Ovis aries: one gene and its partners. The protein of the gene in region 1 interacts with the protein of each later gene in a biochemical or structural test. Links are inferred from orthologs where the notes say so. Each region holds a gene or a part of one and is shown on either strand. Other genes may lie near its edges. The genes, in order: TNRC6A, AGO2 and CNOT1.

Region 1 (3,264 bases):
CATTTCCAGACGTGGTTTTTCAAAGCTACCTTTGGTTTTTGGAAAAACCAGTATGGAAGTCAATATACATTGAATGCATTGAACAACATTTGCTTATATTAAGGTGTCCAACAACATTAGCTTACACCTGGCAAGTTGGAGCATGATCTGAAGTCATACGCTGAAATACATACACAGGTTCTGTCCCCGAAGCTCCTGCGGTGAGGAGCGAGGGCCGTGAAGGGGGAAGAAAAAGGCCAGTCCAGGCTGTGGCATTTCTCATTTTGTAACAGAGGTATGAGAGTTAACACTAAGAACAATGTCAAGTCATTAAGCTTCATGTTCCAAATGGTCTCTTGCTGAGGCTTGAGATGGGCACAAATGGTGGGGAAGATGAAGTCACAGGAGAGTTTGAGCAACAAGATCCCAAAGATGCTCAGAGAGGGTAGGAAGGAGCAAGCAACAGTTTCCCATTGTTCTCACATTATTTCAGGGTGAAAGTGTGAATAAGTTCGGATAAAATGTTCAAATATTTGCTTAGATTTTTTTTTTTTACTTGGTTGCTCTATGAGAACCCTCATACATAGCAACTTTGAAACTTTCGTTATAAAAAAGAGCGTACAAATAAATTCACAAAAAAGAGACAGTTAATGCTGAGCAGCCAAAAAGTCATGGTTTATTATATCTGAAGAAAGTTCATAATTCAAACACAACCAGACTGTACATTTTACAATCACATTCTATTTGTAAACAGTTAAAAGCCACTGACTTCTTTTGCATCTTAGGACACAAACAGTTAGAATCAAGGCAATGAAATGATGGCAAATTCTGTACTGTTAAAATTTTTACCCTTGTTTAGTCTCTCTTCTTTGACTAAGCAAGCATTATAATACCATTTGTGGGCAAAAAAAGGGGGGGTGGGGAGAAAGAAATTTTAAAAATGGTGTATAACTCGTTAGTTTGCAACAACATTTAAAATTTTCTTTATACAACGAACAATTCTGTAAGCCCAATATCTTGGTTACAGTATGCATAGTTACTGATTTCGGCTTTAAGGTACAACAGTTAAACATTAACACAGTCACGAGAGAGCGGAAACAGAGAGCCACTTGATGGGATTACAAAAAATTATTACCTATTGATTATTAGCAAACCATCATCACTCACTAATAAAAAGACAGCATCTGAAAGCAGAATCTCAAACTCCAGCTTTAAGCATTTTTTTGTTTTTTTCTTTTTTTTTTTTGGCAGAGAAAATTCTTAAACAGAGCAATATGTAGTATCAGTGCTAAAAGTTGGGGTTTTTCTTTTTTCCTATAAGAAACTACAAGGAGTTTTTTTTTTTTTTTTTTTGTTTTTTTAAACTGGGGAACTGGTTTTCCTGAGAACCATGCTCTTTGATTTAGGACAGAATAGAAAAACAAAAGAACATGGCCAAATGCTGCTCCTTTTTCCCAGAGATAGAAAGCATCTTTTAAATCATCCTCCATTTTTTTTTTTTTGTCTTTTAATTTTTTTTTAAATGATGGAAGAGTAAACATTTTTTTTTTTTCTCAAAAAACAAACAAAAAAATCTGTAAACAAGAAGGCTCAACGTGGGAACCTTCAAAACAAAATGGAAAGCCTATTCAAAGTGCAGGGCCCGTCCTGGGTGGCAGGTGGGCTGCAAGTCACAGCTGTGGCCACAGTTTTTCAAACTGCAGAGTGAAATTCTTTAGTTTTATAACATGAAAAACTGGTGCAATACTTTCATTTATAGTCCTAGGTCAGTATCATAACTTGATCTCTTAAACTCCACGATACCACAATAAGGTAGGCAAACATCAAGGCATAGTAGAGAGCGCACACCTTAAGAACATCCTTGAGTAAACATTTACACTGGAACAGCTGCCCTCCCCATATTGCCGAGTAGACGGAGAGAACACCCTTCAGTGCAAAGTTAAAAGCTCATACATTATCAGCCCAAAAAACTTGTTTGCAAAAAGAAGAGAAAAAGAATGAATGGGGGGAGGGGTAGGAACGGGGGAAAAAAGAGAACTCAAAGGCTAAACATGATGAGTATACACAAGTGAGCTCATTCTATACGGTTTAGCATGTATGGCGCTATTTGGGAGTGTAAATAGATAGATACCTTTTCACATTATAATATTGGCCTGCATGATTCAAGTATTCAAACTGATATGTTTCAGGGAAAACAAAGTGGAGAATGTGCAGAGAATAGCTGTTCCCACAGGTGGCCCCTGGCTGCAGGCGGCGAGCCCAACTTAGTGCTCCTTTCTCTCGAGGCTTGAGGTCGAAGTTCGTGAGTCTAGTCTACACTGTTACATGGACTCTCCACCCCCACCCAGGTGGTCAACAGAAAGAAAAGCATTAATGGGGGATGGGCTGCTAATTCCCCGGGGGTCGCTGCTGCTGGGAGGACCCCACAGGCTTGTGGAATAATGTGGGGTCCCCCAGAGGGAAGTGCCATGAAGGTCTCCACAGTTAGTTCCCGACAGCCCAGCACCATTCCAGTGATTGAGATCGGTCCGGCTGGAGAATGAGTGGGAACAGTCGAGGGAGCCCAGCCGGCTCTGGCTGGACCCGAGAGACTGCCAGCTGGGAGAAGGGGTCAGAGACTGACTTTGTGCAAAGAAACGACTGATCTCCTCTTCACTGGCAAACTCAGCAAGAATAGTAGTGTTCCCCAGTACACACCTGGAGGAGAGAGACACAAGCAGGCCTGGTGAAGATGGGGGCCAGCTGAGGGGTCTGAGCCAAAGTCAGGGGGGCATATTGTCGCCTCGGAGGGGGAAAAGAAGAGGGCGGGCATGCAAGGACGCCGAGGGCCCTCCCGCCAGCCCGAGCGCGCCCCGGAGGCCACATGTGGTAGGGCACAGCGCCCAGGGCTCTCCAGACCCAGACGTGCCGCCCAGCTCTGCTGAGGCGTCAGATCACATCCTGTCTCCTAACGGGAAATTTAAGGGACTTTCTAGGGCCACTTTTTTTTTTTTCTAGGGCCACTTTGATCTGGGGTGATGTGCTCCCTTCTGAACGTTGCCCTTGGAGCCAAAACACAGGAGGCTGCAGCTGCTCTGAGATGCTCACTGCGGGGCCACACGTGCCGGTCCAGGGGTGGTGTGCGGGGTCACCGGAGGTGCTTCCAGCCACCCGAGGGGGCCCTAACAAGAGGATTCCGAACCTGCACCCCCAGGGGCGTTTTCCAGGCGCCTGCGTAGAATGGGCAACTTACATGTGCAGAGACTTTTGTGCCTTCACTACCTCTTCTTTTGAACTGTAACGGAC
Region 2 (4,394 bases), on another chromosome or scaffold:
GTGGCAGAAGTTACTTTGTAGCAGGTCTGTGAGGAATGTAACCCACAAGAGTCTGAGCACAGTGAAAAAACTGACCAACAAGCCCCCTTCAGTAGGCAATACTGAGATTCCCTTTAAGGTCTCTAAGCGGTTTGGAACGAAAAAAAAAATTGTTCATCTATGAAGGTTCAGGGTCACAGAAGAATCCACCCATCCTAAACCACTAACTCTTTCGAATAATTTTAAAAAAATAAACAAAAACAAAAAACTAAAAAATAGTAACTACCTAACTTTAGAGTCCAGATACCAATTCACATACATAATAGCATTTCCTAACAGACATAACAGTCCATAACAAGACTCTATTTTTAAAGTTAATTTACTTAGTCACTTAATAAGGGTATTAAAATGGGAAGTAGCAAAACTATTTGTAATTTTTTCTACAATCCAGTTCAAATGTCTTTTTATTATTCTAAACTAGGAAATACACTAAAAAGAGTTTCACCGAAGAGACTCTATTCCAGATATCCCTCTTAAATAAAATTAAAAGCCTGAGTGTGTAGAATAAAACTGAACTGTATCACAGCCTTATAATTACAGCACGCTTGTAGAGCCTGAAATTTGGGTTCATTCCCATCCTGCCGTTCACTGGCTAAGAACTATCCTACAGACTCATTTATTTTTTCAACCAAAGCTGTCCGATTTCAGAGCAGGTTTATCCACGAACAGTGAATGAGAGGGCCCCTCCCCACCAGGCCACGATGCACAGGCCCACATCACAGCAAGATTCTTCCAAGAGCCATGGAGAACCCGGAACGAGCCTGGAGATCCAGAGAACTAAACCTTTTTGGAAAATAAAACAGACAAGAAAATATCCCAGTGCACAGCACACAGCACTGGCGAGCGGTTCTTCCTGAAGCTCGTGTTTCAATTATACTCTAACACCCGAGCACTGGGTCCAGTCTACATGTAACAGGTGTTTCTTCTTGGGGGTCAAGGTCAAAAGAACCGAAAGCCACTTCTCTAAAGGGAGTGTATGGAGAGTCTGCTTGGAATCACACACATTGTCCTACTGCTCGCTGGCTGGCTGACCTTCGAAAGGCTCATAGCCTCTCTGTGCCTCTGCAGTCCATCTTCAAAATGACCATCAGCAACTTAGCAAGCTGTCCAGTGGCTCAGTGAACATCAGACACATCACAAAAGCTTGACCTTCCCCAAGGTTCTTCACTTTTTCTGGGCCTCCAACTTTTACATTGAAAATCTGAAAAAATGTTCAGTGTAGTGGCTAAGACTTGCTGGGTTCCTTCAGAGGGATGGACGGGGAGATTCTCACTCACCCAGGTGTGGGGGCTACCCTGCCACATCATGGGTGGGTGCTGCCCACCCGTTCTAAGAAGCCAAGTCTGTCTGCCCCCAGGACTGTGACTGTGACTGGAGCCCTGGGCCTTTCCCCACCAGGGCTGAGTCACCTTCCAGTTAAAACCATTACAGTTAAAACCATTCTTCTATCAAATTGCTGACAGCAATTTAAAAGTTGCTCTGGCTCAGCCTTGGAGAAGCTTTCTAACTAAGTGACATCAGAAAACAAGACAGTGAGTATTCACAAGGCACAGGACTGTTAGTGAATAGAAAGTGTTAAGGGATCCAAATGGATGAGAAGAGCCTGAAGAGGTCCGGCCAAAGCCCCAGCAGCAGGAGTCTTGGGAGGGCCAGGGCCCACAAAGGGCAGGACCCAGCCGGCAGGGCCTTCAGCCCGCTGGAGCCTGGTGGACAAAGGGGACAGGATATGCCCTGTCCAAGTGGCAGGGCCAGCGGGAAATTTAGAAGCCACGTGCCTGGCGGGAGAAGGGAAAAAGCTTACCAACATTTGACCACTTTCTTGCCTCAGCAAGCTAATCGCCCTTCTACTCTGCATTTCCCCCAAAAAAGTTCTTTAAAAAATGTGTTACTGCTCTAAGTTTTTCAGAACTTTTCTAAAGAAAGGGAGGCCGGCTAGTGAGAAAAGATGCTAAGGAAATCAGCACATCTCCTCACCTTCCTCTAGTTAACTGTAAAAGGCAATTAACACTTGAATAAGGAGCCTGTGTGTCTGGAATGAAAATGAGACGCGCGCAGGTTAGGGTTTTAGGGCGCCTTCCTATCCCTCTCTGTCCGCGGTCCTAACTACCAGCAAGAATTGGCCAAAATTCAGCATTTCCAGACTTTCCTTCGGAGAAGGGGCCGCAGAAGTGCTGGCAAAAAGAAAAACGAAACTGAGAGCGCTCCAGGCTCGCCGCGGCTCGGTCTGCGCCCAGCGGCCGCGCTCCTCCCCGCGCCGCCCGCACCCCGAGTTCAGCGCCCCCGGCCGGGGCCTCTCCGCCCCCGGGCGCTTCGAGCGCGGCCCCGGCCTCGGCCCCGCCGGCCCCGCGCGGCGCAGGGGCCCAGGCGCCGGGCGCAGGAAGCCGGGCAGGCGGGCGCCCGGGCCTCGGGCCTACACGCGCGCCGCCCGGCCCAGTCCGCGCTCCGGCCCGGTCCCAGCCCGCCGGGCTGCGGCGGAGACGGGGCGCGGGAAGGGCCCAGGCCGCGCGGGGCGCCCCGACGACTCGGGCCCGAGGAGGAGGCCGGGGCCGCGCGTCCGCGCTGGGGCCGAGGGAACGGCCGGCAGCCCCCCGCGCCCCCCAGGCCCCCCGACCCCCCGGCCGCGCTCCCCCGCCCGCCCGCGCCGCGCTCGCGCCCGGCCCGCCAACCGCCGCGGGGAGGAGCGCGCGGACTCACCGGGGCCGGCTCCGGAGTACATGGTGGCGCCGCCGAGGGGCTCCGGGGCCGAGGGGCGGCCGCGCGCGCGCCACGGGCCCCGACGCCGCGAGCCGCGAGGGAGCCGCCGGCCGCACGATCCGCCCCGGCGCGGCCGCCAAACAGGTTTACCCGACGCGGCCGGGGCGGCGGGCGGAGGCGGCGGCGGCGGGCGGGCGGGGGAGGGGGGGAAGGGGAGGGGAGGGGGAGGGGCAAGGGAGCAGGCGGGGGAGGGGCGGGGCGGGGCGAGGGAGCGGGCGGGGGCGGGGCGGGAGAGGAAGGGAGGCGCGGGAGGGGCGGGGCCCGCGCGGCGGGGGCGGGGCGAGGGGCGGGGCGAGGGCGGGGCGGGCCCGCGCGGCGGGGGCGGGGCAGACCAGCGCGGCGGCCGAGGCGGGCGCCGGGCACGGCGGACGGGGCCGGCGCCGGCGAGGGTGGCGCGAGGCCCCGTAGCGGGGGCGCACGCGGGGCCGGGGGGACCCTGTAGCCACTCAGAAGCGCGACGCCTCCTCCGACTGGGCGGAGCAGGCGGCGCGGCGCTGCCCCCTCACCCCCGTCGCCGAGACCGGGAAGAAAGAAAAGAAAACATAGCCCTCGCCTCCCCGCGCGCGCGAGCGGACCCTTCCCCATCCCGAGCCCCCACCGCGCCGGGCGACCTGGGGCCCCGTGTGGACGCGGTGCCGCCCGCGCCCCAGGGCCCCGGCATCGCAGCCGGGCTCTTTTAAGCGATAAAGGAGGAAACAGGAATGTCGCGAAGGTTCCTCCGGACCCGGAGCTTGAACTTGAACGCGCCCGGGTCCTCGCACACTACCACACCGCCACCTCCCGGCGGAGAACCTACCTAGAGAATCCCTGTAAAGAGCTTCAGGTTTTGGTCAATTTTAGCCGCTATCCGTGATCAGATCAAACTGTAACTCCTCATTCCAGCCCTCGGGGCCTCCCCTGTTCCTTTACGGACCCCCTCGTGCTCCGCCGTACATCCCTGTGTTCGCCCCCCTCGTGCAGAAACGTTCTCCCTCCAGCCAAACCCTTGCATCCAGTTTTCGCTTTTCAGAGTCATTTCCAGGGAGGCCAGCCAGAGGTCAACACCTTTCTCCCCTGCTTGATGAGGGATTAGAAACCGGAAGGTGAAATACAATCCAAAATTGCTTGTCATCTTTTTAACATATTTGCCTGCTCCTTTCTTCCTCGGGTAAGCAAGTATTATCTGACACCGTGTACCTGTGGCTGTGTTCCGCTGGCCTAGCATGGTACAAAGATGAACGGGAGTTCTGCCTGCAAGCGTCCAATAGGTTTGTTTCTCTCTCTGCAGTTCTCAAGGACATTCTTAAATAAATGCACGAGAATCCACCTGCCCTCCAGAAAGAAATGTCAGAAGGCTTCCATCTTCACCGAGTAATCGATATGAATGAGGGGGTCCCATGGCATCAGCCTCAGAGATGTCCATTCTTCCCCATCTAATCCTCTGCCCACCACCCCCACCCTCATAGCCACCCAGACCACCTCTCCACCTGACCCTCATGCTGTGGAAACACAAATCCACAGGTGACCCTAGGCAGCTACTCAGCTGAACGTGTGTTTAGGAGCCCAGGTGGCCTGGGTAAGAAGGTACGCCAGGGTGGGACTGGGTACCATCCCGACGTGCC
Region 3 (2,330 bases), on another chromosome or scaffold:
AAGGGGCTGTATTGGTCCTTTTGACTTGGTTGTTGAACTCAGCCTATATGGCCATTCATTGGGATAATGGGGAAGGGCAATTCATACTATTTGGCTCCTTTCTGCACAATTTCTGTAATATGAGATGGGGGAGCTTTAGGCCTGTTTTGGCTTCCCTTTATAAAAAGTGTCTCACAGGGCCCAAGAGGGTGTGTTCTCCAGCAGGAAAGAGAAAATGATGCTTTCCCAGCAGCAAGCTGTAGATGTGGGGAAGAGGTAAAATAAAAAACCCATGGGATCTCAAATGTGAACTCTGCACATGTTCCTAGCATATCAGATTCTACACATCCACATTTTTTAAAAACAACTGGGTGATTTTCAAGGTCCCTGTCCGTGTATTTTTTTTTTTTAAGTTACACAATATTTAAACTGGCTTTCTTGCTATTCTTTGGGACACCTGGAATGTCAGAAGAAATGGTGCTGTGCCCCACCCCCACTCCACCCCCAGACAAGTGCATGGCATCAGCAGCTCCTTCCATTATAAATTGGGCAGGTACCAGTTTACCTACTTGCCTTGAACACATTTTGCACAAACCCAAGAAGTTTCAGACAAAGGTTTTCTCTTTCATATATTTACACAAGTTCAAAATGATATTCACAGCATCTTCTAAATTTTGGCCAAGAGTCAAAAAAATGCATTTAAACTTTGGAACGTGTCCACATAGACAGGTAGCTGACCCAAACAGTAATTGGGGCAGATACCCAAGAACCAAAGGGCCGGGAAAGTCAGGAAGAGCTGAAAGGATCTTCAGCCAGTTTATGAACTTGGTACAGTGGGACCTCCAGGCAGACACATTTACAACAGAGATGTGGTTCCATCTAACTGGCACCTGTCCCTTCCATTACTTGCTGAGCCTGCTTTTGTCCCATGCAGCACTGTGCGACGGACTGGAATAACCTGAAGAATGAAAACAAGTACAAGCTAGTGAGAAAAATTCAGGCGTGATGAAACCTTGTGTCTTACTAATTTTGGCTACTACTCCCTTCTTAATTACCCACCCAAGCTGAAGCCATCAAATGATTATTTCTCCTGTCTTAAGACTGAAACAATGAAAAGAATTACTTTTGACTCACTTTTCAATTTCTGGGGCACAGTGTACAAATTCATGGTTCCAGAATTTAAATGCTGGATTTTTAATCAGCTCAATGAAGGTAATAAGAAGACCCCAAGGATGTGGCCTATTTACAATCAACCGTTCCAAAAGAACCCTGGAGAATGGAAGAAAAAGTTGATCAATGCACAGGAAAACACCAGATCATGACCACTTCTCCATTAGCTTTAGAAAAGGAAGGTGGATATACAGAATAGTTAGCATAAATAGATCCTAGAATTAGGTTTGAACCCCACCTCTTCCCTACTGAGCCTAGAACACTAAGGTAAATAGATAACAGATTACATGGCACAGAGAAGATAATCACTTAATACATACTCAAATAAGAAAGTTAATACTACTAGTACACATGTAAACTGGGGGTGATGATTCTTCTGAATGGCAGTCAGTATTGGCTTAAATATTCACATCCTTTGACCTAACCAACTGTACTTCTAAATTTATCCTAAAGACGTAATAAAGCACAGGAACAAATACGTGAGTACAAGGATGTTCACTGATGCTTTATATATAATCACTAAAAGGACTTTTATCATCTGAACATCTAATAATAAAATACTAATTTTTAGTATATAAAACTAAGGAATATTAATACCTAGAAGCTAATAATAGGTTAAGGGGTAGGTTTAACAAGTCTAGTCCAGTGCTTTAAGTTTGCCTGTATCTCTCTCACTAGGATGTACCCATTTCCTAATCTGCAAATGCTATGCATAGTCCAAGCAATCTGCAATAGATGCCTAACTATTGTTAGTAAAACACAAGTATGATCCTGTTATTTCTCCTGCTTAAAACCTTACAACCTACAGGTAATAAAGACAAGTTTAAGCTCTTCAACATGAACTTTGAAAGGCCTGATGCTTCAGGACTCAGGTTAAATATGCTGACAACAACACTTGAAAAAAATCCCTAATCCATAAAAATAATGGTACCTTGTGTTGAAAACTACTTTTTGGTTTCAACAATGATTAGTAATTCTGTTTGTGTGTGTGGGTTTTTTTTTTTTTTTTTTGGTGCCCATCAGACTAATTTTCAGGAGGGCAGGAACAAAGTCCTTTTGTTCACAACTATTTAACACATGGACTTCTCAGGTGGTTCAACTGTGAAGAATCTGCCTGCCTGTGCAGATGCAAGAGATGTGGGTTCCATTCTTGGGTTGGGACGATCTCCTGGAGAAGGAAA

What was found.
Region 2: the proteins of TNRC6A (region 1) and AGO2 form a complex in vitro, tested with the Homo sapiens proteins (2 studies listed by BioGRID). The link is inferred for Ovis aries from reciprocal best matches to the Homo sapiens genes TNRC6A and AGO2.
Region 3: the proteins of TNRC6A (region 1) and CNOT1 form a complex in vitro, tested with the Homo sapiens proteins (2 studies listed by BioGRID). The link is inferred for Ovis aries from reciprocal best matches to the Homo sapiens genes TNRC6A and CNOT1.

What each region holds. Positions count from the first base shown.
Region 1 is NC_056077.1:23,016,896-23,020,159, reverse strand, and holds the end of TNRC6A (trinucleotide repeat-containing gene 6A protein), read right to left. Parts: coding exon 3,212-3,264; intron 2,677-3,211; coding exon 2,301-2,676; 3' UTR 631-2,300; downstream 1-630.
Region 2 is NC_056062.1:15,983,566-15,987,959, reverse strand, and holds the start of AGO2 (protein argonaute-2), read right to left. Parts: upstream 2,882-4,394; 5' UTR 2,756-2,881; coding exon 2,734-2,755; intron 1-2,733.
Region 3 is NC_056067.1:25,892,180-25,894,509, forward strand, and holds the end of CNOT1 (CCR4-NOT transcription complex subunit 1), read right to left. Parts: exon of another isoform or gene 1,249-2,330; coding exon 1,114-1,248; exon of another isoform or gene 938-1,113; coding exon 859-937; 3' UTR 596-858; downstream 1-595.